Drosophila melanogaster: one gene and its partner. The protein of the gene in region 1 interacts with the protein of each later gene in a pairwise test. Each region holds a gene or a part of one and is shown in the gene's direction. Other genes may lie near its edges. The genes, in order: ics and stck.

Region 1 (5,869 bases):
TCCACTTTAAGCCCACTTGAAGCTATTCAATCAGCCGACAACTCTTTCGAACTGTGGTCGTTCAATTCCGTGAGAAAGGGACACAAATTAGTGAGGGCAGGCAAGTGCCATCAATTAACTAGAATCCGGATCGATTATTTGCCGCTCCTACGCACATTCGCACATTGGCATGGATAACATTTAAACGAAGTAAACACTTAATGCGAATTTATGGCCGCCAAATGTCCAATTTGGAATTTAAGCGAGCTTGGCAATGAAGAATTTATGGTTTTTGGTCGCTATTGCGGTTAGAATTTTACATAGAAAATCGAACTGCAAAGTTCAATATAATTTTATGAAAGAATCGATTACCTAACAAAGGACACTTCTCAGGCTTTGATTTTGCTACACAATACAATACAATGCCTTAATTGCAATCATATATTAATATGAGTGGAACTGAGCATAAACTATGTATTTCCAAACATTTTGGCCACCATTTCAAAATTAGCACAATTTGCGCCGAGCTGCAAAAGTTTGTCAGCAGGAAAAAAAGGCAAACAAAAAGTTAATTAAAACAAAAATTACGGACAGTGGCCGGCGGTCGTTTGGTGGCGACTGTGCCGCAGCATTAGCAGTGCAGCCAAAAATGCAGCCGAAAAATCTGCGCGCCATCTAAAACAAAAATTAATTTTTGGGCCAGGGAAAGTTTTTATTTCCCTCCCATTGCTGTTGCTGTTGTTCTTGTTGTTGTTGTTGTTTGCTGGCCAGGCGAGAGTTTGCATTGTTTTGCATATTTTATACGGCGGAAGTGTATACGGCAAAGGCACTCGCCATCATGCCAACTACCCCAACCCAAAAAAAAAAAAAAAAAAGCGAAAAAAATGGTATGTGCAACACGCAAATTATGCAGGCGCATAAGACAAACTTTCTGTTTTGCGGATTCGACAACCGGCGGGATGAAAATTAATACGAAAGCCAAAAAACGGGGTTGCCCCCCCACCCACACAAACATCTAGTTCCTACGTATTTCTGAGATCCAAAACTGCATCGGCAACTGGAGCACCGCAGAGTAATTAAAAATACAGCCAATGGCCAGAGCAGAAAAACCCCGAGCAGCTTGTACTGAAGGAGATCATATCGGCCATGTTTGCAGCCCAGAAATCTGAGTCCCTTCAAAATTTGCATCTAGCATCCATCAAATAGATAAAATTGAAGAAATGTCTCAGCTTGCAGTTCTAATAAAAACTATTAAAAAAGAAAAGAAAATTAAACTAAAATGCATTAAAAAGGGTAAAAGCCAACATGACTATATTGAATTGATATTTTATTAAATGTGCTCTAAGCTCATTTCTTATTGCACTGCAGTTTTCAGTTTATAACGGTATAAAATTCTTAAGTGGCTAAGTAATAAGAAACAGACTTACTTTATTATTACTGTTTCTATATTGTTTTCTTTCGGTTCTAAGCGCTTAAAATAGCTTATATTGTCCCAGACTTTTTGAGATTCAGGCACACAGCAAATGGCTGCCGAATTGCAAACGCGATTTAAATGGGTAATGCCAGGACATGGCGATTGTTTTATAATGCAACGTCCCCACTTTCCACTTTTGCGCCTGCAAGCTTATTACAACGGTTAGCTTTATATTTACTATCCCAAGTCGTGTCCTTACTCACTAATATATCGAAGTTTACTTTCATGTGTATATGGTGTGAGCAGCAGAAGTAAGGCAAGAACGTAAAATATAGCGAAAAAAGTCATGATGTCTCACTTCACATGGAGATGTGATAAATCATATTAAAATCTTATATGCGTCAACGAGATGGCTGCATTTAAGATATTAATCAACTGTGTAATTAACTAATCAACAAAGCGCCTATTTCCAAGTCGACAAACCACAGATTTCATGCTTTAGTTATGCCTGTTTTTTGTCTTTTCGATATAATTCAAACTGGTTTCGACACTGTAGTGAAGATGCTGGAGAAAAAGCGAAATACTTTAAACAAAATCAACAAAACCCGGTATTGAGTTTGGGTTCGATTTGTTTTTTATTTTTTCCTGTCTGCCGGCAGTGGCGACAATCGAAAAAGGCAAAAACCAGCCCCCAGCTATTATTCGGATCCCCCATCACCTCCAACTCGCCCACATCCACATCGATCGATCTTGCTGACGCTGCGAGAGATCTTCTCAGTTTCTCGAGACGATCGGACGACGCACGACGCATTCCGCACTTTGGGTCTATTTTCGTGATTAATTTCGAAGAGCGGAGACGTATTCTAATAGGAACCCATGTTCCATTCTGTAACGTGAGTGCCATATAATCTGCAGAAATCAGTACGAATTCGTCCAGATACTCAACAATTTTACGCATACAGTATGAAAAGCCTTGGTGTTTTCCTACAAAAATAGGTCAAGTGCAGTGTTTGTGTAACATAGTGACCTAAAAAACGTTTAAATTCGTTTTCATGTGGATGAAAAGTGCTGAAAACTGACCGAAGAAAAACATATGCTAACAAAAAGTGCAGTTGGCGCAGTTTGAGAGCTACTGAAAGTGGCTGCCAAAACAGTTTTAGAATTACTCTGTAAGTAATTGTGGTTCATTACTTAGTTTTAGACCAACTACACGAAAAATATATAAAAATAAAAATAAATACATTTTACAACAATATTTTATATTTTAATTTAATACATAAATTAATACATAATTTAACATAATACATAATAATAATGTTAAGTCCTTTAAGACATTTGAATATTTCATTAATCGAGCAAAGTAAAAATAAACAAAATTATATCAATATTATTAAAGAATGCATGTTATTATAAATTCAATAAATAAAACACGTTACAATTAAGTTTTTACCAATCACAAGTAAACACACTTTCTACATGTAGATATGATAACATACATCGAACGCGCGTAAAATTTATGTTGGTACCTTTTTATCAACAATTGTTTGGTGAGCTTTGATTTCACATTCATATATAAGTAGATACAAATGAATAATGAACATCTTTTTTTTTAAATAATATAAATATAAATATTATTTAATAAATGAGCTCAATACTTATTATTCGATTAAGTCATTTACAATATCTTACATTGCTTCCTGTCGATGTAAAATTACATATTTCTACTTGTCTGGCAGCCCTGAAATACATATAACAGATATAATAGCTCACATTACAAAAAAATTGCTTACAAAATTTAAAAAAGCATAGAATTAGTTTGCCAAATTCTTTTACTATTCTGCTTTTAGAAATAAAAATTTATTGACTAACCTTCAAAATAATTAATTAGAAATGTATATTTTGTTCTGGTATTTTTTAGGGCGTATTAGGAATCAACGAAAATGAGTCAGTCTTGTATACCAGTGAGCGCAAAGATGTCGAAGGCAAAGAAGGTTTTGGATGAAGCCCGAGAAACTCACAATCCCGAGTTGGATTTGGCCGACAAGGGGCTGTCGTCCTTCGAGGAGTTGCCCGGACTGTGTAAGTATCAAAACCAAAGGATCTTGAAGGAATTATACGGATTTTTGCACTTCTGAGTAAACATAATGGTGGGTTACTTCCACGCAGAATGGAGCCTCGCCCAGCTGCTAAAAAAATTGTAAATTAATAATATTCTAGCGTATGTATTTATGTTGTGGTAATAATATTCATTTAAAATGAGTCTAAGCATCTTTTTAAATGGAGTCGCTTAGTTTTATTTATTGTGATGACGCCAGCAGCAAAATATGCATAAGTTTGAGTGTAGAGAACGTAAACAAACACTGTAAATACCGCAAATAAGATGTGTATACATATCTGGGAAATGTACTACAACTCCATAACTATGACTTCATTTACATAAAATTAGAATATACTACAATTATTAATCTTAAAACCATTAAATTTTTGAGAAAAAAAAAACATTGCGCATGCCTCTGCTTATATTGTTGTCCCGCTCCAACATTCGGCGTCTATACTTGTTGCCTGCAATCAGCTGTTTGCATTTAAACCCAGTGGTGAATTCACAGTGCATTGGACAATTATGAAAAACAATCTTTGATATCACGAAAAAGGAAAAATATGTATTTTAAAGAGTTTAGTATTCTTATTAATATAATTTTTTTTGCAGTCAACATGTCCAACATCACGCGCTTGACCCTGTCCCACAACAAGATCAGCGTAATCAGTCCGGGAATCGCGAACCTACTGAATCTGGAGATCCTGAACCTCTCGAACAACCAGCTGACCGAACTGCCCGTTTCGCTGTCGTCCATGCCAAAGCTACGCATCCTCAATGTGTCCATCAATCGGCTGATAAATCTTCCTCGCGGCTTTGGAGCCTTTCCGGTGCTGGAAGTGCTCGACCTGTCCTACAACAATCTCAACGAACAGGTCCTGCCTGGTAATTTCTTTGGTATGGAGACACTGCGTGCTCTGTATCTGGGCGACAATGACTTCGAGTATATACCGAAGGAGGTGGGTCAGCTGAAGAATCTGCAGATACTCGGATTGCGTGACAACGATCTTCTGGAATTGCCCCGCGAAGTTGGGGATTTGGTGCGACTGCGGGAGCTACATATTCAAAACAATAGGCTGCAGGTGCTGCCACCAGAGATCGCCCAGTTGGACCTACTGAGCAACAAGTCGGTCATGAAGATGGAGGAGAATCCCTGGGTCAATCCCATCGCCGAGCAATATCTGCTGGGCATTAGTCACGTCATCGACTACCTCAAAACGGAGACCTATAAGATGTGAGTGCACCATAGATCCATATATCCATAAATGTATATTCATCTGATCCTTTTCCTTGACAGCATCTACAACCGCCACTTGCAAGCAGGACGCAGTGGACCGCCGCCACCCAAAGCTGACAAAAGCAAGAAGGCCTCTCGAATTCGCGCATAGTGATTCTCCACCAGAAGATCCCAAGATCCCATGGAATTACAAATGTGTTCGTCTCGTTCGTTGTTAACCAAACCCGTTTTCGTATACTAATTTATAAGTACTTTTAAACTAATGCGTATTTCTGCAATGTGCCTTGACCCTTAGTTTCACTAATGAAAATAAAACAAAATAATAGATGCATATATGTATTCCTGCTGGTTTAATTTCGGATCCTATGCGCAAAAGAATCGTTAAATAAAGACACGCTTGTATATTTTATAAAATAGTAGGTTTTTCTTGTTTTTATTATCTTTTCTCATATTCATTCTTCTTTTTTAAGAAATTTGTTCATAATCATAATTAATTAGTTTACTTAAAGTCAATTAATTAATTCTTTATTTATTTTAATTAAATTAATAGTTAAATGTTTTTTGTTTTTGTTCTTTGTTTTCTATGTTTGAGAAAAACTAAAAGCATAGTTCTGCTTTGTTCGCTTTGAGTTTGTTTCGTTTCTTTGCATTTTTTCACTTGTCAATTTGAATTGAATACATTTTTTTTTTATCAATTTATGTTATTTAATTATTTTGTAAACGTATTTCGCCTTCACTGTATCTGCAATTCAAATTTAATTTATTCCTTAAAGTATATTTTAGTATTTATATTTATATATTTTTTATAGAGTTTATTTACAAGAGTTAAAGATGTTCTTTTACGAAAAGTCTGGCAGAAAAACAAACAAAAATGTAAATTCATTTATTCAGTAAATTTCTCCAAAATGATAGCACGGAAACGTCTTGTAAATTCGAATTGAGATAATTCCATAGCTATGCGTCACGATATACAAGTTGGATGTGCGAATGGAAACGAAGACAAGGGTTTCAAAAATAATATCATATAGCTTTCAAGCTATAAATGTCTTTTCTTGGAGTAGTACATCAGTCGGGACTCCGTGAGTAGTTGCACGATTAGTTCTTGAGCATGCAAATACGAAACACAGACAAAAACAAAAAACAT
Region 2 (4,283 bases), on another chromosome or scaffold:
AATGCTGGCTCTTTGTAGAGAATTTTAAATTATTGGCGATCGGGAATTATATGAAAAAATAACTTACACCTGTAAAACTTTTCTTTTCCTTTTTGTTGCTTAAAAAGAAACTCATTTCATAGTGATTGTGGGTTTCATAGCAAGTTTACAAGCTCTTGATTCTCTTATCAATACATATTTTCTAATGATAAGTATCAGCGAAACTGTTATGACATTTGTGGCATTGAATTCTTTTATAGTTTCCCTGCACATTTATTTATGTATTTCCCCAATTGGCGTGTAACATAGCAAAAAGAAAATCAATCAAATTCAATGCTAAAGGGATTTCTTGCCTGCAGCCTAAATTGGCATGCGAACCGGTCTTGTTTACAAACAAATAGTACGTGAAATTATAAGTAGAGGCAGTAAGCTGATAAGAGCGCGTTACGAAACTGTTTCGAAGAAGAACAGCAGTTGGCCAGCAGCTGATAAGAAGGTGAGACAAAGAAGCAAAAATGCCACGCTGCGATAAGCGTGGCGCCTTAAATCGTAAAGTTCTTTTAACTGATGTATTTCGGTAACATAGGCTAATAGCGAATTTAAATTGGCGCCCAGTAGTATTGGGTGTTTATCGATTGACATTCAGGGCTACCTGCCTCGAGAACAGAAGAGCTATCGATAGGCAGGTTGTACAGGGATTTTTTAGTGATAAAGTAGAGTGGTTTTTTCTGCGTCTTTTTCCACGGAAGCTGTTAGTTAAATGAAAAGTAATTTAATTGCAGCAAACTGTGGCTTTAATTAAAAAGGTTTCTCTGAAGGTAAAAAGTACTTTTTCCGTTGAATGCAATTCTTCAAATGTGAACATGCTTAAGTGAAACGCGTGAAATTCCAGAGATTTGCCCATTTTGGCAATATAGGTGTTGTTGTTTTTGTGCTGCGATAGCGCTGCGCAGATCGTCTTCTTGGCTGAAAATCAACCGGATCTGGCTAGAAGGCCGCCAAGCGAGCAGAGCTTAAAGCCAAAAGACACAGATTGATCATTTCTATATGTTTTTGCAGTGTTTCACTCGCCGTGATCAGAAAACGTTGTACACCAGGTGCAACAGGTGCCGTTGTTCGCAAGTGAAAACCAGTTGAAAGCAACTAAAAAAGAAAAGCCCACAGAATGCCGCCCGTGCAGTAAGCAGAATGTTCCGCCCCACTTTCTTAACGTCCTTGTCTTCAAAACGCCCACATATTGCATCATTTGGCAGCATAATAATCATCGTTATCCATTCGCACAAATAAGCATTTCGCTAATTAATAAAAAAATATAACTAATTCAGGCTAGCAGTGCCTATCATTCATGCCCTAATCCAGCGTTAACCCTCTGCCAGTGATGGTGGTGCTTTGGACCCCCATTCAATGCAATTTTCCTGCCAGATGTTTACTCCATCGATGACGTCATGGTCATATTCAAATTTATTTTTAAACGCCGCCACTCGAGTGTGTGTGTGTGTTTGTGCGAGAGTGCGTGTCTGTGTATTGTTTACTCTTCGTATTTTTGTGTGTATTCGTCGGATTTGATTATGATGAGTGGGCCGCTGTTGTGTTGGCGGCAAACCCAATTCCAATTGGATGCTTGAATTTGTAACCCCTTTTGGAGGCCAAGGAATGTTCAATGACTCAACCAGTAATGGGGAGTTGATAGTTACATCTTATTATATATATTGTTTATATACAAACTTTTCAAATGGCGCTCCTGCTTGTAATAATTACTTCAATTACTCATTATAGCCATTCATTGTTATCCAGCTTAAAGCGAATATGATAGTTCTTCGTATATATTTTATATATGTATATATAACCTGTTCCGAAACGATATATCACCAAGCCATCACATCTGCAGCGTATCACGCTTGATATCCAACTGCCATGCGACACTCTCTGTAATGAAAGCTAAACTTCCACGGAATGCCAGAAAGCTTTTTGGCTGTGCATTCGAAGGAAATATGATTCAGACATCGTCAACAGAGCCGGCAAGCGATAAGTCTCATTGTTTTGTCCAGTTTCTCATTTCACGCCCTGCCCTAAAGTCGTTTTTCTTTGCGCTCAAGCTATAACCATGATGTACTCTAAGGCTGAAGTGTAATGGCCTCTGAATTGGTTAGTTACTTACCAACAACTGATCCTGATCTTCTTCTTAATTCACAGAGTCCAGGCAGCGAACATGTCGCTGGGTGCCATGCATTGTACGCGATGTGCCGACGGCTTCGAGCCGACTGAGAAGATTGTTAACTCCAATGGAGAACTCTGGCACACCCAGTGCTTCGTGTAAGTAAACCTCAATGTAGTTGTTTCACTAATACCCTCACTAATAAACATTTTCTAGATGTGCCCAGTGCTTCCGACCCTTCCAGGATGGGATATTCTACGAGTTCGAGGGCCGTAAGTACTGTGAACGCGACTTTCACGTGCTCTTCGCTCCCTGCTGCAACAAGTGCGGCGAGTTCGTCATCGGACGGGTCATCAAGGCCATGTCAGCTAGCTGGCATCCACAGTGCTTCCGCTGCCAATTGTGCGCCAAGGAGCTGGCTGATTGCGGATTCATCAAGAACCAGAACCGCGCCTTGTGTCACGAGTGCAATGCCAAGGTGAAGGCGGAGATTACCGGCCGCTATGTATGCCAAAAATGCCAGTAGGTTTCAAAGGCTTTAGGTGAAAACATGTTGCTAATTACTCTGCTTTTCAGCGGCCTCATCGACGAGGAGCCTTTGCGATTCCGGGGCGAAGTGTACCACGGCTATCACTTCAGTTGCACGGCCTGCGGCACAGAGTTGGATTCCACTGCTCGGGAGGTCAAGAGCCGGCCAGGATTGGCTGCTAACGATATGGTGGGTTTTTTTTTCTTTAGCAAATAAGAAGCAACTGAATTATTATTCCATTATAGAACGAACTGTATTGTCTGCGTTGTCACGATAAAATGGGCATTCCCATATGTGGTGCCTGTCGTCGTCCGATTGAGGAGAGGGTGGTAACGGCGCTCGGAAAGCACTGGCATGTGGAACATTTCGTGTGCGCCAAGTGCGAGAAACCCTTCTTGGGTCACCGACACTACGAGAAGCGGGGATTGGCCTACTGCGAGACGCACTATCATCAGCTCTTTGGCAACCTGTGCTTCGTCTGCAACCAGGTTATTGGAGGCGATGGTGAGTAACTTAATTGAACTATATTCTGGGTTTATTTAATGCGCTCATTCCATAATGCCAACAGTTTTCACTGCCTTGAACAAGGCCTGGTGTGTGCACCACTTTGCGTGCTCCGTGTGCGACACGAAGATGACACAAAAATCGAAATTCTACGAGTACGACGAGAAGCCGGTGTGCAAAAAGTGCTATGACCGATTTCCAAACGAACTCAGACGACGTCTGCGCACCGCCCACGAGATGACAATGAAAAAGAACACCTAATGCCTTGGAGCGAGTCTCAGATCCACACCAAACAGTGCCTTTGTCGTTGTAGACCCGCTTTCACTACCATTTTTAACATTTGAGAAACTAAAACCAAACAAACTAAAACCTCTTGTGCATGTCCTTTCCGTCTGTTGTAATCCGGTTGTGTGTAACTTAAATTTTAAATCGAGAATCAACGGCATCAATAGCTAGGGAACATAACATTGTGTATTAAAAGCCTTTAACGTTGTTATTTAATGGAATTTTATTTATATATAAATGTTTTTAAAATTATAAAACGTAATGCTTATTCGCAATAACTTCGTAATGTGTTTGACCCGATTTAGTTGTGGTGTCAAGTAAATGGCATTTGATGCACTTAAAATTTACAAGCTCAACAGCTTCTGAATAAGACTTCCCGATTTAATTACGGCTATATGGTTGATATATTTGATACTATCAATATGAACTGACTGATGGACCTTCAAAACCTCAGCCAGATAGGAAACCTGTGCTGCATTCGGGTTGTGCGGGAATTCTATAAAGTGTTTGTTCAAATGTTATGCTCAAGACAAATGTTTAATATCCATACCGTCAATCACGCAAAGGTTTGTGGCACAGGGAGCGGTGAAGTCTAATGGATAGCGACGGATATCCATTTCGGTTATGTCCTCTACATTCGTGTAATCGAGGTACATTACCCGGTACTTTGTCTGCTGCCGTGGAACAACTATAATCTGTTCCACTTTGCCACGATACCAGGAACCCTCAAATCTGGCAAGCACATATTCCCTGACACTGTCAAAAATGTTAATTAAATATAAACTTACATTGGTATGGTTATAGTATAGTTACACTGGCTTATAAGGCTCG

What was found.
Region 2: the proteins of ics (region 1) and stck interact in a two-hybrid assay, tested with the Drosophila melanogaster proteins (3 studies listed by BioGRID).

The regions. Positions count from the first base shown.
Region 1 is NT_033779.5:13,638,713-13,644,581, reverse strand, and holds ics (icarus), read left to right. Parts: upstream 1-1,979; 5' UTR 1,980-2,562; intron 2,563-3,309; exon of another isoform or gene 3,310-3,311; 5' UTR 3,312-3,333; coding exon 3,334-3,472; intron 3,473-4,100; coding exon 4,101-4,722; intron 4,723-4,785; coding exon 4,786-4,876; 3' UTR 4,877-5,135; downstream 5,136-5,869.
Region 2 is NT_033777.3:8,356,299-8,360,581, forward strand, and holds stck (steamer duck), read left to right. Parts: upstream 1-2,029; 5' UTR 2,030-2,083; coding exon 2,084-2,106; intron 2,107-2,172; coding exon 2,173-2,292; intron 2,293-2,350; coding exon 2,351-2,656; intron 2,657-2,710; coding exon 2,711-2,852; intron 2,853-2,908; coding exon 2,909-3,167; intron 3,168-3,231; coding exon 3,232-3,428; 3' UTR 3,429-3,662; downstream 3,663-4,283. Other genes in the region: veneno, read right to left, coding at 3,797-3,948, 4,003-4,208, 4,266-4,283.